Regions from separate parts of the Mus musculus genome. Here regions 2, 3 and 4 are each reported to be linked to region 1. The links are microRNA targets in miRTarBase. Many come from high-throughput screens and were not tested one by one. Region 1 holds a microRNA gene; each other region holds the end of a gene's coding sequence. Distances are from middle to middle.

Region 1 (3,000 bases):
TTATCCTGCTAAATGTGATTTCTTAAACGTGTTTTCTGTTTTATTGTTTCCTGAGCTGTGGAGCCCTGCACACCTGTAATGGAACCTTATTTTCTGCTAATAAATAAAATTACTATTCATTCGGGTGATGGGAAACCAGTATGTCTCAGCTTTGCGGCATTCCCTCAAAGAGCCCCTGCATCATCACCTGGATGTGTCAGAGAAGCCTGGTGATGATGGTTGGGTACCACAGAGGCCAATCCTAGACAAGAAGATGTGAGAAAGGTGGAGGATTTGTCCATCACCAGGGGACCAAGAATTGGCTGGGAGCATTTGCACTAGAACCCAAAGAGACAAAGAAGACCCTACATGTCAGAATAACAGAGGACTTATCATTTAGGCTCTGGGAATGTCAGAGGCAAGATGGTCCCTAGAGCAGATAGAAAGACCTAGAACATGCTGTGAGAGTGCATGGCGGCCTCAGTTACGGCTGCTTTGGAGACTCTGGCTTGAAAAATGTCAGCATCAAGGGATTGGGGTTTTTTTTTTCCCTTCCCTTAAGAAAGCAGAAGGAGAGCAGCGCCTTGGAGGTCCCGTGGATCTGTGTCTTGCTTCAACAGTGTTTGAACGGAACAGACCCGGGGATTCCCACTGTACTCGCTTCCAGCCGCCTTTACAAGTCTCTCCAGTCGCAGCCTCCGGGACCATCTCCTCGCTGCCTTCGGCTCCTAGGACCAGTCTGCACCGTCTCTTCGCGGTTAGCTCCTACTCCGGATCAGCCATGACCTCTCAGATTCGTCAGAATTATTCCACCGAGGTGGAAGCTGCCGTGAACCGCCTGGTCAACTTGCACCTGCGGGCCTCCTACACCTACCTCTCTCTGGGCTTCTTTTTTGATCGGGATGACGTGGCTCTGGAGGGCGTAGGCCACTTCTTCCGCGAATTGGCCGAGGAGAAGCGCGAGGGCGCGGAGCGTCTCCTCGAGTTTCAGAACGATCGCGGGGGCCGTGCACTCTTCCAGGATGTGCAGAAGCCATCTCAAGATGAATGGGGTAAAACCCAGGAGGCCATGGAAGCTGCCTTGGCCCTGGAGAAGAACCTGAATCAGGCCCTCTTGGATCTGCATGCCCTGGGCTCTGCCCGCGCCGACCCTCATCTCTGTGACTTCCTGGAAAGCCACTTCCTGGATAAGGAGGTGAAACTCATCAAGAAGATGGGCAACCATCTGACCAACCTCCGCAGGGTGGCAGGGCCACAACCAGCGCAGACTGGCGCGCCCCAGGGATCTCTGGGCGAGTATCTCTTTGAGCGCCTCACTCTCAAGCACGACTAGGAGGCCTCTGTGCCTTCCAAGGGGCTCCCCCCTCTGCTCTGCACCAGCCCGCCCTGGGACCTCCACCTGAATGAACCTCTCAAGCCACTAGGCAGCTTTGTAACCGCCCTGGAGCCTCTGTCAAGTCTTGGACCAAGTAAAAATAAAGCTTTTTGAGACAGCAAAAAAAAAAAAAAAAAAAAAAAAGAAAGCAGAAGGAAAAAAAAACCAATCCTGCTTTGGAAATGTGGCTATTTTTATGCTGTTTGTAATTTTGTGTTTATTTCCTGTCCTTTTCACATGGACTCTGGGCTGACTCATTGATTCACCAAACATTAGTGGAACGCCCACTCTGTGTCGAAGAGCGCAGACTGCAGGGCTGGGGTGCAGCTGCGTCCTGAGCCTGAGCTCTGGAGCATTTCAGGGGCATCATGGGAGATCCAGGTAGTGATGACAACATGGTCTCTCACACTGAGGTGTGTACAGCCCACATCAAAGCCCTGTGCTTGGAGCTTCCTCGTTTTTCTATATTCTGGGAGAAGTAAGGAAGCTCAGGGCAGCTCAGAGCTGGGCTCCATGTCACACTGCAGACATGGGAGGGGAGCCCATCTCTCTCAGCTCCTCTTTGCTTCTGCCCTCCCAGCTTTCCTTGCCCCGCCCCTTCCGGTTTGTTTTCTACCAGGAATTCTTATGCCTCATCAATCCTCCACCCCTCCAGCCCCCTCCAGCCCCCTCCAACTTCCTCTAGCCCCATCCAAGTCCCTCCAGCTCCCTCTAGCCCCCTGCAACCTCCTCTAGCCCCCTCCAGCCTCCTCCAGCTCCCTCCAGCCCCTCCAGTCCCCTCCAGTCCCTTGCAACCTCCTCTATCCCCCTCCAGACCCCTCTAGCTCCCCCCAGATACCCTAGCCCCCTCTACCCCCTCCAGCTCCCTCCAGACCCCTCCAGTCCCTTCTAGCCCCCTCCAGCCTCCTCTAGCCCCCTCCAACTCCCTCCAGTTCCCTCCAGGATTCATTTTTCCCTTTCCTTGGACAGAATTCTATCTAACTTTTCTTTTTTTTTTTAAATTTTTTTTATTACGTATTTTCCTCAATTACATTTCCAATGCTATCCCAAAAGTCCCCCACACCCTCCCCCCAAACCCTCCCCCCAACTCCCCTACCCACCCATTCCCATTTTTTGGCCCTGGCGTTCCCCTGTACTGAGGCATATAAAGTTTGCCTGACCAATGGGCCTCTCTTTCCAGTGATGGCCGACTAGGCCATTTTTTGATACATATGCAGCTAGAGTCAAGAGCTCTGGGGTACTGGTTAGTTCATAATGTTGCACCTACTGGGTTGCAGATCTTTTTAGCTCCTTGGATACTTTCTCTAGCTCCTCCCTATCTAACTTTTCTAGAAGGGAAGAAATTAGCAGTGTGTGTGTGTGTGTGTGTGTGTGTGTGTGTGTGTGTGTGTGTGTATAAGAGAGAGAGCGCTGACCTATGCAAGAGTGCTTGGATGTCCTCCTTGGTAGTTTCTCTATTTAGTTTTTGAAATGGTGTTCCTCATTGAACCTGGAGCATGCCATTTTGACTGACAGTCTGACCCTGGGGCTGCTTGTCTCCACCTCCCAGCACGGAGCTGCAGATGTTTGTAGCCGTCCTGGCTTTTACGCAGCTGCTGGGCATCTGAACTCCCGGTCTTCATGCTTAAGCAACAAACACTTTACTG
Region 2 (7,884 bases), 60 Mb from region 1:
AGGTTATTGTAATGCTATCAAAAAGTAGAACTGTGAATTGAACTGGAATATATTTTTCAAATCTAGTGACTGCCCCTTTCCTTCTTATCACCTCTCTGAAAATCAGACCGAAGCATCTGATTCATTCTTGATTTTTATCTCTGCAGGTCACTCCCTTTCCTATGTCCTGTGACCTACAAAATGACTGCGCCTGTCGAGACCCTGAGGCCCAAGAACACAACCGGAAAGATCTTCGGGGATATAGCCATGGCTAAGGAAAGACAGGTGTCAAAGATTTCCCAATGCCAGGACCCGCATCCCTCTGGTATTGATTTCACAGTCTGCTGCTCAATGAAATGGCCTCTCCACACCAGGGATCCTTAGCACCCAACCGGTCTGCCTTTAATTTCACCCAGGAAGGACCAACTGTGGGGCAATGAACTGAATCTCACCATGTTGAATGATGGAGTGGAATACTATCCTGTAGTCTAAGATGGATTGAACACACGGCATGTAGACCCAGAGCCTCTAAAAATTCTTTCCATTTCTCAAATGACCATAGCCCAAAAGAACAACAAAACGGTGTGTGTATCAAGGAGTATGCACATCTGTGGTTAGTACACAGGCATGCATGCACACCCATGCCAATGTCTGTGTGAGGGCAGAAAACAACTGGAAAAAAAAAAAGAACAAAATCCAAAAAATTCAATCTTTCATTTTCCAAGCTCCCAAGGAACACTGTCTTTGGGAGAAGTGGTTTATAGAAATTAAGACCAAGTACTGAAAAGCCAATACATCTCAGATTCTAAGGCTCAGAATATTGTGTAGTGCTTTGGGACTGGAAGTGAAATGGCTGTAATCACCAACCTTCTAGGGAACTAGGGCTTCCTAAATGGTAAATATTCCAAGGTGTGCAAAGCTCCCCAATTTTTTTGCTGCCATGGGGGTTTTGTTCCAACACCAGGGTGCAAGGTTGAGCTGGAAATGGCTTAGGACTGCAGAATTAAGGTATTCTATCAGCTCCCTGCTTGAGGCTTGAGGTCTTCATACCCCTTCCAGATTCCACCCATTTTCCAGATCTGACCTTGGGACCACATTTGCTGCTACTCTTCCTGCTGCTCTGTCCAATACATTGAGTGCCCTAAGATGGTAGAACTAGGTTACAACAAACTCCATATAACCAAGTAGACTGCCTCAAAAGTGATTCATATTTTCCCACAGTTCCTCACTTCTTGCCCATCTATAAGAAAAAAATATCCTTCATGGGCTTAAGTCTTTCATGAGTAGACTTCTCATTCTGGGAAAGAGTTGAGGGATGCCAGATGCTGGAGCCCTTCTGGAAAGTCCAGAATATCTAATCCAGTGTTGGATTTTCTAATCAAGTGGAACAGTGTTAAACTTGGAAATGCTGGAGCTACCCAGAGACTGTTGGAATAGCAAGGACTTAAGTTATTGTCCTTATCCCAGTCTTCCTAGCTCTCTAGGCTAGAAGAAGCTTTGGTCTTGAGACTCCCACTATTACTCCAAGCAGATAGAGTTGTGAAACATCTTGGACATTGGCGATGTCGACTGTATACTAGAAGAACATGGAAGGGAAGCCCTGGAGATCCAGACTGAGTACCCAACATAGTCATCATATTTTCCACATAATCTTTCAGATGTTAGGACATCTTTCCACATTCATTGTTGGACATCACTCCTTCCCCTCCCATATTTAGTCTTTAAATGTTAAGAGGAAATGAGTCAACTGTACATGGAAGCCAGCAATATATGCAGGGCCTTTTTTCCTGCCTCTTTTCATACCTATGTATATACTCTGAATTAATATGGGAAGAGTTAACACAGGATGATGTGGATAGAATAGCTAACTTTGACATAATTTATGAAAGGTGGGGCAGGGAAGCAATGATATGGAGGATCTAAATGAATTATATAACAGAAAGATGAATAGTACATCAACTGATCGCAAGTCTAGTGGAGATAACCAACCAATAAAACAAAGTCTGGAACAGAATGCAAAATGCCAGCCCATGTGTAAGCCACACTGCATCTAAGGCATTAATTGTTCAACTATCACATCCCTTTATCTACTAGGACCAACAGTAACTTAGCCAACTGTGTTTTCATATTATGACCAATAGCTTTTTCCTACTGATCAAGAACATTTTAAAAGGTAGCTATTGACCATCTGTGGTCCATAATATCAGGAAATGTACCAAGATGGTTTTGCACTGGTACCCACAATTATGGATATAAGTGCTTATATTATGCAGCTTGTCCTGTCCTTTAGCTTCTGGGGTTGAAGTCTAGAGTGGAGAAGTGGCCACTAACACAATGGTCAAGCACTTTGGTTCCTCCAAAAGCATATCTCATAGTGCATTTCCCCCTGGGATTTCTTGGACCAATCTTTATCAAAATATAAGAACAATTTTTTTTCTAGTAGCTGGCCCAATTATGATCATCTCTCCAAGATCCTCAAACTTTTGTCAAGCCTTCAGATTCCTCTTTTGCTCTGATGTGCTGTGTCAGCTTAGAAGGGACAAGCAAAAGAGTGGTGACAGGGCCATCCTTCCAGATAAGTAATCCAGAAACCTCCAAAGACCCAAAGATGACATTATCAATAGAAGAGTTGTAGAAACTAAGAAAGACCACAAGAATTTCTCCCAGTCATTCCTCATCCAAACCCTGTTGTCGATGTCACTGTCATCTGCTCTTATCCTTTCCAGCTGGGCAAAGATTCCCGGAGGCTGGCTCCTCTGTTAAGATTCATAGGCTGAAATGGGGGCGGGTGGGGGGAGCTTTCCAGGAAGAGTCCCATCCAGTTTTCTTCTCACCGCCATTCAAGCCTGTTATGAACAAATTCATATTTGCTGAGCCTAATAGATAAAAGAGGCTACCCAATTGGTAGCCTGCCTCATGCCCACAAGGGATGTGTAATTCATAAGGTCTTCTCAGACCTTAGTGCAGGACAGTCAGCTGTATTTTTTCAATGCACTGATTCCCAGTTTCATTTTCTTCCTGAGAATAAACTCCTTGTCTCATCTCCTCAGTCATCTGTTTTGGACAATGGGATAATCAGGAGGAGGCGGGTCTGAAGCACTATTGTACATCCACAGCTTAAGGGGCTCTAAAGTACTTGGGAGTTCTGCAGCTGAAGCAGTATGTCTGTTAGCAGCAAGGAAGCAACGAGGAGATGGACAGTTCTCTGAGCCCCATCTGGGGAACTGTTCCAAACCGCAACACACTGTCTGCCCGGAGGACTTGCATTACCCCCTAGATTTTGTGCCAACAGCCTCATGAGGGAAGTCAGTCAGTCCTTGGGAAGTCAGTGTGGGTAGGTGAGGTGGGGTGTAAAGCAAAGGAGAGATTAACAGTCTTAAATAGCAGGCCTTTGCAGAAGGAGGGAATCAGCTGCTGCTCTTGGCCTTAGCACACTGGACCTCTGCCGAGACTTTTCTGTCTCATTCCCACATTGGCCAATGCTTAAATGCTATTTGTTGAAAATAATTCTTTGGGACAGATTTCAGCTACCTCCCTTCCAGGTTTGATTTAACTTGGTTGTAACTGTCAATTTGTTAAAGGTCTTACCTGTGTGGATTTTTTTAAAAGAAATAAATAGAAAAAGACACGAAAGAAAAGAAAAGAACAGGAAGGAGAGCATGTTAACCGTTTCAGTGTGTGTATGTGTGTGTGTGTGTATCTCTGTGTCTTTATGTGTGTGTGTGTGTGTGTGTGTGATTTCTTTTTTTCTGAAACTACTTCAAGTGAGAAAATAAATAGAAGGAATTGAAGGTGACAAAGCTGTAAAGACTGAAATTAATAGGAGACAAAGTGATTACAAGGGACTGAAATGCATGGTGAAAACCTAAGAATATAAGCCCTATTTTTATGCTTCCTTGAGGACACTATTCTATAACTGAGTAGGTAGAGATGACATAGAGATTTCTCTAGAAGACTTAGAGTGGGATTCTATGGCATTGACTAACATTTGCTGAACATTGTGGTAGGTCCAGGAAGTAAGGCATTTTTGCCCTTGAGTTATTGTTAGCTAAGCATTGGTTCATTTCTTTAGTGACTGTCCATGGTAGAGGGGATGAAGGAGAGTTTCATATTGATTTTTACCAAATATTAAGGAAAGAAACTGGGTCTCTTTGTCGTTTTTACACTATAAGATATTTTTGTTTGCCAGTATGGCACTCAGAACCACGCTGCACAGCTCTGTTCTTAAGAAGCTGCTTCATGACCATGCAGGGGACCCCGTTGAATACTGAGAAAGAAGACAAACCAAGCAAACAACTAAATAGAGAACAAGTTTTCTGAAACACCTCCTTTTGTGATTCATTCAAGTTTTTCTAAATTCCTAGCTATCATTTCCTCTGTAAAAACAATGTAATAATGGTCAAGATAGAAGTTGATGTAGGTGGCACAAAGCTCCAGAATGCTTTTCTCCAGCCTTCAATTTACTCAGTGATCTTGGAGAAGTCATCAAATTGCCTCCATATTTGCCTCAGTTTCTCTTGCTGAAAAATGGGGATACAACTAGTTACCTACCTCACAGTGGGAGGGTCATGAGGCCCTGAGGATACTAAACGGACTGTCCAATCTGTAGAAGACACTACACAGCCTGAGGCAAAGGTCATAGGGTTCTTTCTTTCTTTCTTTCTTTCTTTCTTTCTTTCTTTCTTTCTTTCTTTCTTTCTTTCTTTCTTTCTTTTATTTCATAAAATGCACAGGCTCATTGCCCTTTTCAGAGACAGGGAGTGCTTGATCAACATTTCATGGCACAAAGCTGGAAGGCCTGGGTTACAATCCACCTTAATGAGTGTACTGGGGAATATTTACTCTTCAGATAAGTTTCCCCTGTGTTATTCTAGCTTTTACCAATTCAATGATTTAATCAAAATTCAATGGCTTCCTACAGTGTAAAAGTCAGTCTACTGTCATCTAGTTAATATTGGGGGGCACGTTTCCAATTTACAGAGTAAGAGGGTCTGGCATCTCTTCTCCAGTAGAATCCTCACTTCTCAGACTTAGTTTCCACATAATCTGGTTCATTAAGAGAAGAGATAACATTCTGAGTGCAAGTTGGGCTTCTTAAACTTCACACCAGCAGCCAGTGAGGAGAACTTTGAACAATTATTGAGTTGCTTTCTTGGGTCTCTATAATCAATAACCTATCTGCAGATATCTATCTATATAAAGATATTATATATAAATAAAAATTTACATATATATGCACATGTATATATAGCTGTACATATATGTGTGTATATATATACTTAAATGTAATATTTACAAAACTGTGATCTCGTCTAGAGAAAATGTATTCATATTACAAACTGCTCTTCCATATTTATGTATCATATTATACCTTTTTATTACTGTCATAATTATTGAGGGTATTTCTAATTATTATGATGTTAGAATCTGTTTAGCACCTTCTGGAAGCAATCAAAAATATGATTTTTCATTGAAGTGCTTAGAATCTGTTCTCATGAGAAATCTACTGGTCTACTGTAAAACAAACAAACAAAAATTTTAAAAAAATGAAAGAAAGGAAGAAAGAAGGAAACAAAAGAGAGAGAGAGAGAGAGAAAAGAAAGATTAAAGTAAAGTAAACAGCAAAAACTAAATACAACCCTGTTCTTCTTCCTGTACCTCATGCGCAGAAATGTGCTGCTCTTGTTTTGGGTTATTTTTCCTGTTCATGTGTTTTTATGGATCTAAGTTAAGTCTTTCAGCAATATATAAAAATGTAAATAGTTAACTTTATTTATTAAGAATGTCATCTTTTTAAATTTATATTTACACGATGGTTCATCTAATTTATTTTTTCTATACGGTTTAAAATACTCAAACATATTTTTCTGTTCATGGTATTTTTTATGCTCTTCTCATGGATTTGTGTTTCCATACTGTTTTCTCTGGTCTCAATTACAGGTTAGATCTGACACACACACATATACACAAATAATGTCAAAGACGAATATTTTGCCACTGTTGATTACTATACCTTAAAGTTCTATATTATGAAAATATATAATAGCTTGTCTGCTTCAGCATGTTGTTGTGTGGTTTTTGACTGTTATAGTCATATAGAATGGTCACGCGCGTACTCACACAAACACACTCACACACACATGCAAACATACCCATGAAATAACCTAAAAGGAAACGTGAGCTTATAATAAAAAAATTCAATAAAAAGCATGAAATTGAATTCAATATATATCAAGTGCTCTATATAATTCCTGAAAAGTATCTATATTTTGTACATGCAATAACTGGCAAATATTATTATACATTATAATATATTTCCATTCTATGACACTAACATATATACTCCTTGTCCTTATATACTGCTATTTGGACTCTGTCTTCAACAATATACTCTGAGAATATTTTTATTTTCATAACAAAAACACCCAAACAACAAAAATGAACACAACCTGTGTTCTGGATGTCACACTGTCATTGTAATCCTGAGCTCACTACAGAGGTTGATACTACACAAATCCTTATTTGGGTTCTTCAAGATTACATCCTGGATCAGGATTGAGGGGCTCGTTAGGATGCCTCTCGCCCTAAGGAGCTATTGGCAGTTGATGGTTACAGGGACAGAGGGATATCATTTTCTTCAGTGTTGTAAGAACTGGCAAGGGGCCCATGCTCCTTAACCCTCTGTCCAAGCTCATTGAAGCAAACCTCATTAAATAAATGTGAGGACCAACAATATCCACAACAACAACAAGTGAGAAAACTAACAAGAAAGAAGGGCACGTGCAGAGTCGGGGAGGGGAGAGAGAGTGAGGCATGGATGGGATCACCACACAATGTATATGTATAAAGTTTCAAAATGATGTTATGTGAAAAATAATAAATTAAAAAGTATGAACACTTAACTAGCCAGTCCATCGTGTGAGCCTCCACTGAGACTGAATATTGCTGCTTTCTCTCTATCTAGGCCATTTTCTTGTTCATCCACCCCCAGCTAGTAAGTAGCTATGCAGTCTCTGGAAAGATATTAAATTGTTTTAAGGTTCTGTTTTGCTATCTGTGAAATGAAAATAAAATATCAACTTCATAATATTCTTGAGTTCTTTTTTGAAGATAAGTTTTTCAGTGAATGAGAACATTATCGGACATGGGTTGCATTGGCTCTTGTCAGGTTGAGACCAAAGCTGCTTATGACAAATACCAATAACATAATTAATTTTACTGTTGATCTTTTTTTTAACATATTTTCCTCAATTACATTTCCAATGCTATCCCAAAAGTCCCCCACACCCTCCCCCCACCCCACTCCCCTACACACCCATTCCCATTTTTTGGCCCTGGCGTTCCCCTGTACTGGGGCATATAAAGTTTGCCTGTCCAATGGGCCTCTCTTTCCAATGATGGCCAACTAGGCCATTTTTTGACACATATGCAGCTAGAGTCAAGAGCTCCGGGGTACTGGTTAGTTCATAATGTTGCACCTACAGGGTTGCAGATCTCTTTAGCTCCTTGGATACTTTCTCTAGCTCCTCCATTGGGGGCCCTGTGATCCATCCAATAGTTGACTGTGAGCATCCACTTCTGTGTTTGCTAGGCCCCAGCCTAGTCTCACAAGAGACAGCTATATAAGAACAATATACCTTGAAGTCATGATACTTGCATAGGCATTTCAATAACAGTGGCACTGTACACTGAGCTGTTGACTGTCAGCTCAAAGTATGTTTCTGTATACTGATGCTTAAGATCTTGAGTTTTGTACAAAAAGAATTGTTTGAAGGAACATCCATTGGAATTATTTTTGAGATCATGATAAGGCAAATCAGGTCTATCCACAATGTATTTTTGAAATCATTAAAATACAATATATCAAGAAACACGAGGGAAGCCACTAAACCAACCAACAAGAAA
Region 3 (8,524 bases), not on the chromosome of region 1:
TAAAGATGGGGCAACGAGTCAGTTCGAACTGCACTTTATTCCATTTCTGATTTATATAGACATTTGTGTTACTGTTTCAGTTGTTTGACTTTTACTGTTTTTATCTGTTGGGGTAAACCTCATGCCTTGTAATGTGACAAGGTCAAGTGCGTGTAGCACATACTTGACTCAGAGTGGCACTTAAACCAGAGCTATTTTCAGCACCATTTGGAAATAGTGTATTGTTTACATTTTAACTGAGGCATACTTTTCTAACTGGATTATGAGATGCTTATGAAATAGCTTGGTATCTCCCACCACACCTGGCACAGAGTTGATTGTACATGTGTCTAGGGCTCAATGTTGATGGACTGAAAATGAGTCCTGCTTATTTGACTCCCCTTATAGTTAGTCTTTAACTAAAGCACCCAACCCCTATCAGCCCACATACTTTTTCTCTGAGACAGAGTCTTGTCATGTAGCCTAGGCTGCTCTCAACTATATTATGTATCCAAGACTATTCCTCAAACTCACAGCAATACTTCTTTCCTCGGCATCCAAAGTGTTGGGATTCTGAGTACGTGCCACCACACCCAGCTCGAGTACTTTTCAACATTCTTTTCAAGCCTTGGTGCATGTATATGTTTTACATTGGGCAGTTCCCCTCATATCTTCTTACCATTCTTTTCTCAACTCATTATTTGTTTTAATAATGGCACTGAAGTTATGAAACAGTGCACAATGTACTTCCATGTAGGAGTTGCTGTGGCCTAGGGAGTAAGATTAAGCATTCAATTACCATAATTGAATCCCTTTAGTAATCTTTCTATGTACCTTTCCTGGAGATTTCATATATTCTTCTGTATTTAAAAGGTGGCATCATTGCTTATTTTTAGGATGGCTTGTGTTCTCATTGGAAGCTTAAGACTCTGTCTTAGAGGACAGCATGCAAAGTGGAAATATCATGTCTTTTGAACCTAAAGTACCCTGTCTCTGAATTGGGAGGGTCCATTCTTAATCAACTTGAAAAAACTAACCAGTTAACCAAATTAAACTATTTCTGTAATAATTTAGTTTAGATGACCTGGAATCATTTTACTTTCCCATTACCATAGTGTAAAAGAATGTTAAATTTGTCTCTGCTCCAACTTCTTGCAGCTATATAAGATTGAGAGTCAAGGAGAGGACATACCAGGGACTATAAGGGTTTCTTCATAGTGAAGAACGTATCTATTAAATATATTTTAAAAGCATATATTTTAAAGCCAGGAATGGCGATACTTGTAATCCCATCTTTGTGGATACTGAATCAGGAAGGTCCTGAATTTGAGGCAAGCCAGCCAGGGTTACAAGGCTATATAGCTATCTAGGTAAACATGATAAAAATACACTATATGGAATTCTCAAATAATTAATAAAATATTATTTTAAAGGCTATATATTTGTGATAGTTTGTATATTCTTGGACCAGGGGGTGGCACCATTTGGAGGTGTGGCCTTGTTGAAATAGGTGTGACCTGGTTGGAGTAGGTGTGTCATTGTGGGTGTGGGCTTAATACTCTCACCCTAGGTGCCTGGAAGTCAGTCTTCCACTAGCAGCCTTTGGATGAAGACATAGAATTCTCAGCTCTGCCTGGGCCATGCCTGCCTGGATGCTGCCACACTCCCACCTTGATAATAATGGACTGAACCTCTGAACCTGTAAGCCAACCCCAATTAAATGTTGTTTGTTTTTTTTTTTTTTATAAGATTTGCTTTGGTCATGGTGTCTGTTCACAGCAGTAAAACCCTGAATAATACAATATTCCATATGAATATATATTTAAATTTTATATGCTCTGATTTCTTGATGTTATATCTGGAAACTGAGGTGAGAAATAAATGAATATATTCCTAAGAATTTTTGACCCAATTTTGTTCCTTTTTTAAAAAAAATCTTTTTTATGCACATGAGTATTTTGCCTGCATGTATGTATGTCTACTGTGTTCGTGTCTGGTGCCTGTGGAAGTCAGAAGAGGCTGTCAGATCCCCTGGAATTTGAGTTATAGATGGTTGTGAGCTACCATGTGGGTCCTGAAACCAAACCCAGGTCCTCTGCAAGAGCAACAAGTTCTCTTAACTTCTGAGACATGTCTCTGGTCCCAATAGTATGTTTTTATTGTACTTACTCAGCTTCTCCTGGTTTCTGTCCCTCAGACCCCAAGGAGGAGATGAGATAGAGATAAACTGAATCATCTTTTCTTGCTATTATGAAGACAAAAGTCACACCAAACAAGTCTGCTTGGTGAGTATGCCATTCAGTAAATTAACTCTCCATTGAAATACCCTTCAAATAACACACCTTCCTCCAAGGTGACCTTGTTAGATACAAGCCAGCTCACCGAGTGGAACAGTTTGCGTCATTTCATTAAAGGCACAGCTCATTAAAGGCAGCAAAGTTCCTATGATTCAATGATTCTAGAGAATTCTGGGGGAAATTTCTCCAGTGCATTGAGGAAACACTTCAGATGCCGGGCACTGCTTCGACATTTCCTGAAGAATAGTAGCTCCTCTGTCTTCCTTAAAACAGTCTCCAATTTTAAAACCAGAGGAGGTTACTCCTCAGGAACATTCTGTCTCCGTCTTGTCATGTTATTTCTCTGAATTTACAAACCAACAAATAGCCAAGAGAATTTAGCTTAAGGACCGGACAAGGGCCCTAATACAAAAGGTAAGGAAGGTGGGAACTGAAGGACTTTTGACTGTGCTTTTTAGGTGTACTCTGGTATGTACGTTACTTTGGGAGGTTGATTTCCAAGGTTTCATCCCTCCCCCCTTACCCCCACCCTCAAATCAAAAGTGTCTCATCACCTTTCCAATCAATGGCTTCTTTGTGGGAGCTGAGACGCTGGGAAAGAAAGATTGCTCAGACAGTTCTCATCTGGGGGAAGGCTGCTTTCCCCAGTTGTGGCTTCCAAATGCTAACTAGCAGATGGCACTTAGTTAGGACCTAACAAAAGGATTTTGAAATGTTCCTATTAAACATACTATGCTTGAGACACCATGAGAAACAATATAGACCCTCTAGGACTAGGAACAATCAGAGTTCGATATATATTATTATGTACAAAGCCTCTTGAATCTTGTTTTCATTCTCCTGAAAACCCACTGCTGGAGACTGAGGAAGCAGACATTTGGATGGGGTCTGAACATTTCATACATTTCCTACAGGTCAGTGGCAACACACGTTAAAGAGTATCTCTTGAAAGAGTAAGATAAGATAGACAATAGCCCTTGGAAACCACTGTCACGAAGCAGGACAAGCCATTCTCTAATGCCACAGTCCAAATCTTCAGAGGGTATGTTCCACCATTCCATGCCACGCTGCCAGGGGGTAGGGTTGGAGAAAAAGAATGCAAACCAAACTTAAAGGACTTAACTGCAAATTGATTTTTATTGGTTTTTAACAGTTTTGTCAATCATAACATATAAATACAAAATAATTAAATAATTTGGAGAAGAATTTTGCAAAGACAATGAGCACACACAGAAACAGATGTTACTACTGTGGCTAGTCTCAGATACAACATTTATTTGAAATATATGCAAGGGAGCCTTAGTGAAAGACCTAACTAAAGGATTTTGAAATGTTCCTAATAATCACACTGCTTGAGGCACCACTCAAGCTGGTAAAGGTGAGAAATAGGATAGGCCCTCTAGAACTAGGAACAATCAAGGTTGGATATATGTTATTACATACAAACAACAATATCACAGGATAATTCACTCTTCCCAGTAGCTGCTCCCCCTTGTCACTATACACTCTTCAAGATTTGACATGTTTTTAAAAATACATACAAGTATGACTGGACCAGAATGTAGCAGTTGCAACAATAACATATCATGCAGCGTCTTTTAAAGACCTACTTTGTTTGCCATATATACACTCTGGAAAAGTAATCCTACTCTGATCCCCTCTTTTGAAAGGCTCTGGGTATTTGAGAAGTGGCAGTGTGTATCTTTTCTACCATCACGATTTTCCTAACATGGTTTAGATTACAGTTTTAGCCTCTAACAACCATGGTGTAGAGATTCTATAATCTGGTCATTAGGGATGAAGTCTGGCCATTGGTATCACTATTTCATGTCACATATAGTCATACAAGTCATTCCCTGCATAAGGACCCTTCATGAGGACCCTGCATAAGGTACCCAGGAGGATCATCAGGGCTAAAATGTGGCCCGACTGTTTTCCAAACCATAAGCTCACAAGGCTATATCTGCCCAGTGGGGGCACCTTTTCTTGATTGCTCAAAGGCACTTTCTGAGCTAATTGTCTATTTATAATTGTTCAGACTGCCTTTATCATTATTTCTTGATTTCAGTGAAGTTTCTGAATTTCACATCCTATATGATCTTCTAAAGGAGGTTTAGAAGTCACTGGTAAGTTATCACATTAGAGAAGGCGACACAACCATGATTCTACAAAAGAATAAATTTACACAGTAGAAAATAAATATAAAAAAAGGTAAAGAGAAGATTTTTTGACATGTGGGTCACTAGAATTTAGCTTATATACAACAAAGGCATGCACAACTAAACTTACCAACAGACTGAAGTAAACATCTTTCTTTCTTTTTTCTTTCTCTCTCTCTCTCTCTCTTTCTTTCTTTCTTTCCTTCTTTTTTTCCTTCTTTCTTAGGATGTTATCAAGGATAACAGCCTCTTTAAAATGTGAGTGGAAACAAACTTTCATTTTTCTTTCCTGGATCTTATTCTGTGGTTTTAACACCAATGCCTTTGAAAATGAGAGATAAGAAACCAAACTGCAAACGTCTAGAAACCATAACCAGTCGTGGTTTCTTCTGATAGTAACTGGTTGCCCTCATTTAGCTTATGTTCCTTTCGAGGTTGCTGAATAGAAAACCAGCGCTTTTCATACATCTCACATTGTGTTAAAGGAAAACTGGACACTTCACACCATCCACATCATGCTTTGATTTTAGAAGAAGAGAATCACATTTGCTCGATAAAGTGTAAGCTTCCCCGCTTCGAAGTCCTTCTGAGCGCTATCCGGCTTTTACCATTGCAGGAGTCCTCTTTGTCACTAAACATATGCTGTTTGCCAGTGAGATCATGAAGGCACACGTCTCCATTCTGAACACTGAAAGAAACCCCATTCCTCTCGGTAGATGCATTGCCTAGATAGGAGAAGATCAAAGTTGGTCTCATGAAGTAGCCACAGAAAGTACTCAAGACCAAGCAAGTAGCATCTTTACATTAATGTTGAATAGGCATGCCAGAAATGAATCTTTTAAAAGTACCCATCCTATGTTTTCATATTTTATTTTTATTCCTTCCCTAAGGTCCGTGATGGTAAGCACAGCAAGTTGGAGGATGATCAGAAACAAAATTCCTGTTGACAGTTTTAAAAAACTGAAACAGTCAAAATGGAGAGCGAAGCAAGCTATTTTTTTATTTTCAAGGTCCCATTTCCTAACTCCAATTGAACACAGTGAATTAAACTGTGTATAAGATAACCTACAATATTATTTAAGATTAGCAGAGATCCTGTAGGGACCCACATAGGCTCCTTATTCCCTATGATTCCTATGAAATGAAATTTTGTATTAGAAGATAAGCTCAAAGCAACCAGCTACAGTCCTGGGAAGATGAAATCATCTCTCTATAGCCATTTCTAAATCTGTGTTCTCACAATCCCAATAGCACAGCTTCCCATGAGGAAGCCATTGATTCCAGCCTAAGAGGGGGACAGCAGGGTACTCAGTGGTACCTGTGATTTAGACCTAGGCCTCCCTATCATTAGCAGCCTCAGAACTTCAGGACATAGCATCTATTAGCTTTTAGCTACTTAGCACCATCTTTTCGATCATTATAGCTTTGAAAGGCCATGTACAAAGCTGAATAATAGCCTATTGGTTATGTCATGATACAATCATAATAAAGATGAAAACAGCACTGAGCACATCATGTATAGTCTCACTATATATATATATATATATATATATATATATATATACTTAGTTAATGCTAAGGGACAGGTGCTTTTTATGATCCCATTTCACAGATGTTAAGACAAAGGTAGAAATTAAATGATCTGCCTAAACTTCTATAGCTCAAAAGTGATGGATGGAACACTTGAGGGTGCTTCCAAAGTGTTAGCTCGTGGCCCTGTGTACTAAAGTTTCATGGCTGTAAGGCAGCTAGGAACTGAAATATGTGTCACATTTATACAAAAGAGGCAGTAGAAGTGGCTAACGCAACTCCATCTGTGCCGCAGCTCAAACAGGGCGTGAGCCTGTCTGAGGCAGCTGTTCTGACTTAGGCACTTTGGTTTGAGGACGTTTGGTTGTGGGAACAATTTGTCCCAGTATAATAAAACACTCAGCTGCCAGTTTCGTTTTTGAAATTCTCAGTGCCATTCCTCATCTGGGGTGGAGGCTGACATGTCAGAGATGTTCATCTGACAGACACATTATCTTTTTTTTTTCTTTTTTGAAACACTTAGCCATTTTGTTGACTGCAATGTGCCCCTTACTTACTGTCAGATATCAAAACTAGCTGTGTCAAACAGCGGTGCCAAAATGGACCTGCTTCTACAAAATGATTCCCCAAAGATTGACATTTTTTTTGGGTAATGCTAGGCAGGTGAAGCATCACCTCCAAACCCTTTTCAGAAGATTAAAAACCCTAGTTATGGATCAAGAGCCCCTCGACACACACACACACACACACACACACACTCACACACACATACACACACACACACACGCACACACACACACACACACACACACACACACACACACACACGAGTCTAAGGCTTCTGGATGATTCAGTTCAATCCTTTAATCACATGCCTTTCAACTTGCTCTCTCACTCTTAGTAACCAGCCTTGATCTCCTTGTCTTTATTCCAGGGACCTACAATGAATCATTCCTCATATGGTAAGTTGGCATAGTGCCCAGAACTTTAATCTTGGTATTGACAGTGAGGATATAAGGCCATATGGCAGCAATTTTTTTTAAAAAATGTTAATTAATTAATTTTTCATTTTATATGCATCAGTATTTTGCCCGAATGTGTATATGTCTGTATGAGGGTGTCAGATCTTGGGGTTACAGACATTTATGAGCTAAGTGGGTGCTTGGATTTGATTCTAGTTCCTCTGGAAGGATGGTCAGTGCTCTTAACCAATGAGCCATCTCTCCAGCACCAGACTGCAGCTTCTTATCTTTTATAGCACTAGTTTGCAAAGAAGAAGAAATTTATTACCTGTTCCCATAGAGGACATTGTCTAGGGGCATTTTTGCTTGCTGCAAATTGGGGCAGGACACTGCTGGTTTTACTTGGTAGAGAAGCTAAGGATGCTATTCAACACTTTGCAATTCTCTAAAAATAGTTATCTAACTCCATATGTCACCTGTGTCCGAGATCGAAAGGTCTGGATGTCAAGGACTCCTGTTATATATCTTCTTTGTGTAAAATCTTGTATGTGGTATGTGCAGGCTGGCATGTTTATAAGCTCATGTGAGTGCAGGAACGCACTTGCAGTGTTCCTGTGCACACATGCGGAAGCCTGAGTTTGGAGAGTGTCTTCCTGGGTTACTCTGCACTCTCTGTATCGAAGCAGGATTTCTCACTGAATCTGGAGCTCACCAGTTTGGTTGACCTGGCTAGCCAGCCAGTCTGCTTGGCTGTTTCCCATCTCCTCCTGCCTCTTGTGTGCTAGTATTACAGCAGGGTCACCACACGGTGCATCAGGCTTTTAAGTGTGTTCAAGAGATCTGGTCCTTACCCTTGTGTAGTACCCCCTGAGCCATCTCCCCAGCCAACCCCCAATTGTATTCTTTAAACTCAAACTATCAGAAGCCCTCAACTTTATGAGACTAAAAAACTATTTGGTTGAGACCTGAACCTTCTCACAAACTGATCTGATTAGTAATGGAAAGGACTAAAATCTTAAAATAATGGATAAAGGCCAACTGTTCTTTGGAAGGAGAAATGTACTGGCCAATCACACACATTTTTTAAAATGCAAAAGGTATATTAAGAAGCAGAAGGAGGCAAAAGTAAGTAAGATAAGCTTTATGAGTAACGAACAGCCCAGTCTTGGAGAGAAAGGAAATGTAATGAAGTTTTAGCTGGAAATTCTAGACTTAATGAGTAAAAGAAGCACAGCTGCAGTCATCTGTTCATGTATGAGTGACACAGATAGTGGCCAATATTGCTCACAATCCATCTTCCAGCCTTTGATACATTCATGGGAACCTGGGTGCTGTCACAAGGCAGCCACATTGTGGGAAAGGGTTAACAAACATGAAAAGAGAAAAAAACAGGAAGGTTTCAAAGTGCTAAAGATATACATGGCTAATAGATATGATTTTTAAAAAAAACATATTGCTTAGTAATTTAGGTACTGCTTTTACCAAAACAGTGCAGTACTGAAACCTTTGGGCAATATTTAAATTAGGATTTGAATCCAAGAAAACCTTTTTTAGGTTATAGTCAATTCCCATGATGGAAAACTAAATTTTAAAAAAG
Region 4 (8,524 bases), not on the chromosome of region 1:
CCTCCAGTGCCAGGTCTAGCTGCTCCAACTTTTAATCAAAAGCAGTCTGTTTTCCCATTTGGGTTCTTTGCAAATGAGCCATAAGGTGCAACCTCTCTGTGTCCAGAGAGGTTAAAATATCCTGACAGTTAGTAAATATTTCTTCCAGAAATAAAATTGATTGTCCAACTGAGCAGGTAATGTGAGTATGTGAATGGATCCTAAGTTGGGTAAACCAATTCTCAAAAATTAACTTCAACACACCTGGTTTTCAGGGCCTTGGAGTTTCACATTAGTAGAAAGCTTCTATTGTCCAATGAGGCTCATTATTTGTCCTCAGAATTTCAAGACTCAGTGATTAAAAGATACATTTCCAAACACTGTGTACTGGCATGGATCTAGTAGAAAGTAAGTTAAATGCAGTAACAGTTCAGAAGAGAATTTTTAGCATGTTGTAGGGACTGGAGAAGGTTATTCATGGAAAAATCCATGGAGGAAATAAAAGAAAGGCTTGGCCTTGCAAATTTCAAACACATGGAAGGAAAGATGGTACGCCTGATGTCATCATTATGGGAATGAAGTGTCTCTGCATCTATGATTACTTATAAAACCATCAACCATGTCCTCTTCCCCATGCTTCTCAGAGGACTTTTCTCAAGCAAAAGGAAGGCATTTCTTCCAAGTGTATTGTTATTTGGAGGAGAGTAGTTTGATGGCTTCCCCAAGTGTTTTCATGTTGATTTTAGAGTGAACTTCAAGAAAGAGCCCTTTGTTTCTCAAATCAGACCAATGACACCATTAGCAGCCACAGAATGGTCAATGAAATATGTCCCTCATCTTGAAACAAAACCAACTGCAGGGAAGGCAAAGAAGACCTAAAACTAAGCAGAAAAGAGAGGTAGAGAAGGAGAGACTTCCAGAAACACAAGGTTTGATGAGAAAATACTTTAAGGGATTTCTAAGAACTGTCCACTTAAGAAAATCACTATTAAATTCTGAGATTGATCTAGAATCCTACATAGCATAATTTCAAAGGCCAGTCTACAGAAGCATTTTATGGAGCCTATTTCCATGAATTGCTGCATTTCTAGATCTTTGGAATCAGATGGAGGGAAGAGAAAACACAGCAGAAAAAAAAACAAAAAACAAAAAAACAAAAAAACAATCCTGCCAGGCTGAATGTGACCAGAAAAAAATAGCTCTCTATTCTGAAGGTCAGCTGGGGGTGGGGGGTGGTGAATGCAATATTCAACCCTCTATTTACTTTGTATGAGTTACCACATGGGTCAGATGAGTGGGTCCTTTACTAGTTTCTACTTCAACTTGGGCATGGAAATCAATATACCTAATGAATACAGTTCAAATAAATTCACCAACATTATTTAACTGTATCGATCTTGACAGGCACATACATACTTTCTTCCCTGCTCCATGGTTCTCATGGTCCTGTAAGTACAGACAGACAGACACATATATACACACTCATATACTCCAAAATCTTCTTTCCTGTTTACCAGACTTTTCCCATGCGTGTGTGTGTGTGTGTGTGTGTGTGTGTGTGTGTGTGTGTATGTATATGTATATATACATATTTTTTTTTCCAGACAGGGTTTCTCTATGTAGTCCTGGGTGTCCTGGAACTCACTCTATAGACCAGGTTGGCCTCGAACTCAGAAATCTGCCTGCCTCTGTCTCCCAAGTGCTGGGATTAAAGGCGTGCTCCACTACTGCCTGGCCACCCACTTATAATTCAACCATTTGTCAATTTACAGAAAAGACCTCATTCCCATTCCTTTCATACCCCAAGTCAACCTTTTCACTGGCTGTTATAGAAGGTCGCTCTTGGAGATTCAAATTCATTGAGAAAACATACAATTAGGTCTCTGGCTTCAGAAGTTTAGAGAGTAATAAAAGTGGCACTCTGGAAAGTGTCAGTGCTGAAGAGTTAAAAGAACCATTTTAATGCTTCTGTTGTCTGAAAGAAATGAACTTACACAGGGGAGGGTTTCCTTCTTTCACCCATTTTGCCAAATTCACAAAATGCTACTGCATTAAAATGAGTGAAAGAGCATTCCTGGAGTTTCTTAGCATGCCTGGACAAGCAGCTCTCTTACATCTCTAAGTATTAGTCTTGATTCTCTTTCTCTCCTTCTCTCTCTTTCTTTATTTTAATTTTAATATAATTAAGGTCCTTGTTGAAATAAATGTGAGACCAGTGATTCTAAAAGCAGGCCCCTTGGGGAATTACATTCCATATTTGAAGAAACTATGATGGAAGATCAGCTGATATGACGTCATTTCCTCACAGCAAGTTGAGCAGACTTCCATGCAGGGCCATCCATTTTGCCTATGCATCATATACAAACATGATTTTAAACTGTGTATGTACCAAACTTTAATTTTCATTTCACACTCAAAAGTTCTGTACAAAAAGAGGCAATGCAGGCAAAAACAAACAAACAAAAAGCCCAAAAAAACAAACAAAAAAATTACAATGACTCCGGCAAACAACATACAAGCGCTTCAAAGCCCCTTCTGATGTGCAACCATTTTTACAGGTGTACTATGACAATGGAGTTCTGAAGGCTGGGGCTGGCAAAGTAAAATCCCAATGTTAGTTATTAATATCTAAAACACTTGAGAAATGCCTACAATATAAGATTGGATGAGAAGTCTGAACTCTACTGCACAACTGGATCCCTAGATTGAGCAGGCTTTATCTTTCAAAAGCATAACATTATTTTGACAGAATTGTGATGATGCCTCACAAACTTAGGCTTGCCATTCTTGTTTGACATAATGATAATAACTAAGAATGTATTTTATGTCCATGAGGAATATATTAACTAAATATTTAAAAACACCCAACACCTCCTTCAACGTTGTTAGCTAATATTCTGGCTCTATTGTGTCATCACAAATAAAAATTTCTCTTTCCACCCAACTTTTGCTGTGAAAGCCTAGGTGAACCTCAGAGAAGCGACCATGCCAAAAGCAGCAACATGGCTGGGAAACCTCATTTTTACCTTCTTTCTTGCTTCAAATTAATTATCTGAGTTATAGAAAACACTTTACTTGAAAGCTATAAGATATCAATTATGAAGTATTATTAACATCGACATCATTGCTGGTACTTTTTCCCAAACAACCCGTGAGTGTTGGATAAATGTGCATGCAGCACGAAAGAGAAAAAAGGGGAAGAAAACCCAAATTGTTCAAGGATTCCCGATACCTACTGGACAGTCTGTTAAGAGTATTGGTCTCCCACCACAGTTCTGGAGTGGACTCAAGGCCCACTCCCTGTTAGTGATCACAGACACTCAGTCTGTCCCCCTGATGACCTGAGGCTATTATTTAGAGCCTGGGCTTCTCAAAATCCAAGTCCTGTTGAGTCTCATCTTGGAGATACTGGACTGGCTAGACTGAAGCAGACTGACAGCACCCATACACACATTTGGTCCCATTTAATAGAAAGTCTAACTAAGAGTTACAAATGTCCTAAGCTATTATTTATTTATTTATTTATTTATTTATGTATGTATGTATGTATGTATGTATGTATATTCTGACAGTTAATCCCTAATGTTTCCTTATGTAGCCAGCTGAGAGGCAGCTATGGTGTAGATACGTGGCTTGGGTTCATGGCTCAGGTCTGTGTCTAAGAGCCCAATAGAAACTGGGCAGTTCTTTGTTCTTTGAAATCCTAATCTCCTCTGTTGAGGAAAGAGCAAATGGACAAATGCTTATTGTGCATCTCTGCTCTTGTAGGCGTGAGAGTTGCCCAAATAAGCATTGCCTATGGCTGCCAAATAGAAAATCCCTAAAGCTGAACACTGGAGAATGTCTTACTGCCACAGGATTGTGTTTTCTAGCTTCCTCGAGATTTTGGAATTTCTAGGTTTGACAAGATCATGGAAGCCATCTAGCACAACTCTTAGAGAATGCTTAGGCCAGTCAATGGCCACATTTACTCTGCTGGTAACGCTCCAAGTGACAAAGTCTTTATGCTCGCTGTTGACTATGCTAACATAAGCTGGGGAACTGGTTCTCCCATTTGTCTGCATTTGGTTTTTTGAAATGAACCAAGTATCATCTTTCTTGGAGGACTCAAAGGAATGCTGGATGGCCACCTTAGTCTGGAAGTATTGCCTTGGGATGTTGCAAACCAAATAATACCACACCCTAATCATCCTAGACCTGACTTCCAGGATTATCATTCATTCAGTTGTCTGGAAAATTCTCTCCTTCTAGCAGAGATTTACAAGTAATCAAACAGGCTAGACTAAAAACTTCTCTACAGTGGTCCATAGACTCCATAGTATATATTCTTAGGCCACATGGTGATCAGGAAGAGTATAGTAGAGTCAGGTGGGAAACACTCAAGGATTTAGTTCTACGTACAACTCACCTTGTATGCCCATATCTTTTCATTGGAGGTCAGAATATGTTTCAAGATTCCATCCTAGCTCAGTTCTGACCTATAGGCAGAATGATTGCAGTCCTGAAGATATTGATATTCATCAAGATGGGTGGGGTAGTACTCATTGGATTTATGCATGAAGAAAGGTTAGTGTAGTGGCTCCTAGTAGCCTTCCATTTTAGATTTAAAAAAAAGATTTATCTTATTTCATGTGTCTCAGTATTTTTTTCTGCATGTATATAAGTGTACTGTGTGCATGCCTGATGCCCATAGAGATCAGAAGAGGGCACTGGATCCCATGCATCGGGAGTATTGGATAGTTGTGGGCCACTGAGTGGGTGCTGGGAATCCAATCCAGGTCCTCTGCAACAGCAACAGGTACTCTTAACCACTGAGCCATATGATGAAGGTGAGACAAAAAGTGAATTTGCCGAAGTACTCAGACTAGTGGGGGCTGACTCCAGGTAATTAGAAATCGTAGATTTCCTCTCTCTAAATTCCTCCAGTTTTCTGATAATGAACGAAGTGCTTTAGTTCTCAGCTCTGATATGAACAGTCCATTTTGATACAGAATGGGAGCTCCCATATTAAGACGGGTGGTGTACCTAGAACTCTGCAGACTCCTGGGAGGTGACTGATCTTAGTTATGATATCACAACCAGAGTTCCATTTATCTGTCCCTGCAGGCAGAGGGTTGACACAGATAAGACTGTCCTTATGCCAACTCTCTCTCTCTCTCTTTCTCTCTAATATTCTTTTTTAAAAAAAGAAATAATATTCTTAAGATAGTCACTTTTCTCAATTCTCCTGCAAGAAGCCCTCTGTCCATCCCATAGCCTCCTCATTAGCTGATTAAAACACAGACAATTTTCCTCTTGCAAATACTAAAAGGGAATGAAAGGGACACAAACCGAGACAGAAGGAGAATATTCAGATTAATAAAACACGTGCATATAGAAAAGCTGCACGTGAGGTTTGCAGGCGGCAGGAAGAGGGTGGGGGACGTGCTGAACTCAGAACTCTTGTGCGCCGCTCTCCACATGCAGTTTTCTTATCTTGGATCTTCTCTCTCTGTTCTCTGTCAGGGTAACAGTTGTGTGTGTTTCTTGTATCTGAGCCGACACAGGAAATCAAGTACTTTGTGTTTCTATAAACTATACTCCCAGAGAGATAAAACATCTAGAATTAAAACCATACCACAAGCGATTAAGAATTTCTGATTGTTACAGGTATCACTACAGGACTCCAGCAGCCAAGGTTGAAGTTTCCGAATCTGGCCCTTGGTGAAAGGAGTTTCGCTTCAGACATCAAAGGTAAGGCGCTCAAGTCAATTTATGCTCGGCTGGGTTGAATCAGTCAGGATACAAATTCAGGTCCATATATTTCAGTGACAAGAAGGAAATGGTTATGTAAATACACAAGTATTAACATCAATCTGTATTAAATTATGTAAACATCTACATCTTCTGAGGTCAGCATAGATCCTCCTCTCTGAGCAGGCCTCTACTGAAGCATCGCTCGAATCTGTTTGGAAGTCGATTCATCATTCAAGTGCTTTGTGGTGAACCTGAATGGGGAAAGAGAGTTTCATGTCAGGGCTTGCCCATTTGAAATTTGTAAATCCAACAGTGCGTGCTCGTTTCCTTAGAGAAGGACCCATAGGTTGGTTCTCATTCTATATACTTTCTGCAAGTTTTTATTTGACTTAGATTGGTTTTACTCTATGCTCCAGATTGACTCTCTGTAACCCATGATGGCCTTAAACTCAGGGAAATCCTCCTGTCTCAGCCTCCCTATTGCTGAGATCAAAGGCATACACCACAATGCTAAGCTTCTAATGAGCTTGTGTGATGATTATTAAAATCATTTTTTTAAAAATCTCATTAGATGACTACGCAAAGGGGACAAACTGATCTCATTTTCTCAGAGATAAAGTTCACAGCGCTTAGTTCAGCATCTTGTTCTTCGAGGCTGAGCAATTATGGCATCCAGAAATTTAGATGTTGCTGTCTATCTACTGTAGGAGCTGTACATCCTCCACTGCTGCTAGGGGCCACAAGTGAGGTACACAAACAAAAGTGCAATCTAAAGCATCTTATTCATTACTCAATCTCATGTGCAAAGGAATGCTAAAAAAAAAAAAAAAAAAAAGACAAAACCCTGTAATAAAGCTTTGACCACATGATACGTCAAAGGTCCTATTCCAGTCACAAATGTCTCTTTAAATGAGGTAAGTGACTTGATTTCACAGGTGAGTCAGTGGCTCACTCTGAATCTCAGAGCAGATGGGTTTGATTTGTGAACAGTCTGTGACTTTTGACTTGAGTCTACGTCTGCTGCCTCAAAAGCCTACACTCTTCCCAGTTCATCACAGATCTCCAGGAAATACAAATTCCCACACTGGGCTGGGACTAGTGGCTTGACACAATGCCCTGATCTTCAGGACGTTTTGGCAGCTAGATTGAAACTGAAAAGTTTCCGAAGTTCAGAAGTTAAAGACTTCTTAATGAATATTAAAAGCCAGCCTAGCTTGCTTGCAGTCTCCTTTGGAGAAAACCTAGGATTTAGGAGGCTCATAAGACACACATATTCTCAAAGATGATGAATTGGCAACTCAGAAAAATAGCAGCTTCGGTGTCTTGAGACTGCTGATTTCTTCGTCTGTTGAGGGAGGACAATAGGTCAGCCATGGTTCTAAGGGTTGCAGTGGTCCCATGTGCTGTGACTAGAGGTGGAACACTGCATGCAGAAATGAGTGCCTCCTCCTTTCTCTTAGATTTACCCAAGTTTACTGCAGGCATTTCTTACATCATCTGGAACTGAGGGGAACGAACGGCTAAGACATCAGGGTCCATAAGCCTTCCTGATTGAGATTCTGCAGGATGATTTGTGCGGTTCAGCAAATTCCTTAGGATGCAGCATAGCTAAAAATAACAACCTCTTTCTTGAAGTGGATTAAGCAAATGTATCCTTGGGAAAAGGGAATAGTGCCTAAGGAGTGGAAATAAGTTCAGGCATCCAGCAGTGAATAACAGGATCTCAGGTTCTCAGTTCTGAGAGTTGTATGTGGGAGCTCCTTGGGGAGCCAGGAAAACACATACACACACACAGACACAGGCACACACACACACAGAGACACACACACACACACAGAGACACACACACACACACACAGACACACACACACAGACACACACACAGAGACACACACACACAGAGACACACACACACAGACACACACACACACGGACACACACACACACAGAGACACACACACACAGACACACACACACAGAGACACACACACACAGAGACACACACACACAGAGACACACACACACAGACACACACAGAGACACACACACACACAGACAATAACACACACACACAGACACACACACAGAGACACACATATACACAGACACACACACACAGAGACACACACACACACAGACATACACACAGAGACACACACACACAGAGACACACATACACAGAGACACACACACAGACACACACACAGAGACACACACACAGACACACATACACAGAGACACACACACACACAGAGACACACACACACAGACACACAGACACACACACACACAGACACACACACACAGAGACACACACACAGAGAGACACACACACACAGAGACACACACACACACAGAGACACACACACACAGAGACACACAGACACACACACACACAGACACACACACACACCAGAGGTGCCTGAGTTGAGCTTCCAGGCCAGTGATCCAGTGATTTAATTTACTTGACCTCCAACCTCAGTGCCTATGTATCAACCCACGAAGCAAGGGTTGGGAGCCCTGGGTGAAGGCAGACATGAGAAATGGATGCTTTCCTTCTCAGAAGACTCCTCTGCTACCAGAGTATCTTGGCCAAGTCAAGTCTGAGATCCGTGGGTCCACTCAGATCCAAGTATAGGTAACTTGGCCCGTTACTGTTATGACATTGAAAAGTTATTTGAACATATGGTGGCTCAGGCTTTTAATTCAAATACTCAGGAGGCAGAGACAGGCAGATCCATGAGTTCAAGGTCATCCAGGACTACAGAGCTTGTTTGAGCACAGCCAGGGCTATGCAGAAACACCCTGT

The links. Region 1 holds the annotated microRNA mmu-miR-692 (AUCUCUUUGAGCGCCUCACUC, at 1,278-1,298, shown strand). A microRNA usually pairs through its seed, bases 2 to 8, with sites in the 3' UTR of a target mRNA and lowers its output. Matches are read on the target gene's strand: a 7mer-m8 pairs with bases 2 to 8, a 7mer-A1 pairs with bases 2 to 7 and ends in A, and an 8mer does both.
Region 2: the mRNA of Pappa is a reported target of mmu-miR-692. Seed matches in the 3' UTR shown: 7mer-A1 at 5,036-5,042 and 7mer-m8 at 5,554-5,560.
Region 3: miRTarBase lists Adgrg2 as a target of mmu-miR-692. Seed matches in the 3' UTR shown: 7mer-m8 at 4,618-4,624.
Region 4: the mRNA of Cyria is a reported target of mmu-miR-692. Seed matches in the 3' UTR shown: 7mer-m8 at 5,135-5,141, 8mer at 2,908-2,915, 7mer-m8 at 2,134-2,140 and 8mer at 2,115-2,122.

What each region holds. Positions count from the first base shown.
Region 1 is chr4:125,503,528-125,506,527 of GRCm38, forward strand. It overlaps Mir692-2 (microRNA 692-2), which reads left to right and starts at 1,222; the gene lies at 1,222-1,330. All of the region lies in intron 1 of Grik3 (glutamate receptor, ionotropic, kainate 3), which reads left to right. It also overlaps the pseudogene Ftl2-ps.
Region 2 is chr4:65,351,472-65,359,355 of GRCm38, forward strand. It overlaps Pappa (pregnancy-associated plasma protein A), which reads left to right. Exons shown (of 22, transcript NM_021362.1): 22 at 147-6,038. The coding sequence ends at 254. Among named protein-coding and RNA genes, the nearest start is that of Pappa, 230 kb to the left of the region's middle.
Region 3 is chrX:160,492,941-160,501,464 of GRCm38, reverse strand. Adgrg2 (adhesion G protein-coupled receptor G2) reads right to left here. Exons shown (of 28, transcript NM_178712.4): 28 at 3,389-5,160. The coding sequence ends at 4,976. Gm15241 (a long non-coding RNA gene) reads left to right here and starts at 1,647. Exons shown (of 4, transcript XR_387097.4): 1 at 1,647-1,680; 2 at 2,177-2,264; 3 at 6,900-6,927.
Region 4 is chr12:12,370,189-12,378,712 of GRCm38, reverse strand. It overlaps Cyria (CYFIP related Rac1 interactor A), which reads right to left. Exons shown (of 12, transcript NM_001146119.2): 12 at 1-5,966. The coding sequence ends at 5,903. 4921511I17Rik (RIKEN cDNA 4921511I17 gene) reads left to right here. Exons shown (of 5, transcript NR_045829.1): 3 at 5,629-5,712. Among named protein-coding and RNA genes, the nearest start is that of 4921511I17Rik, 18 kb to the left of the region's middle.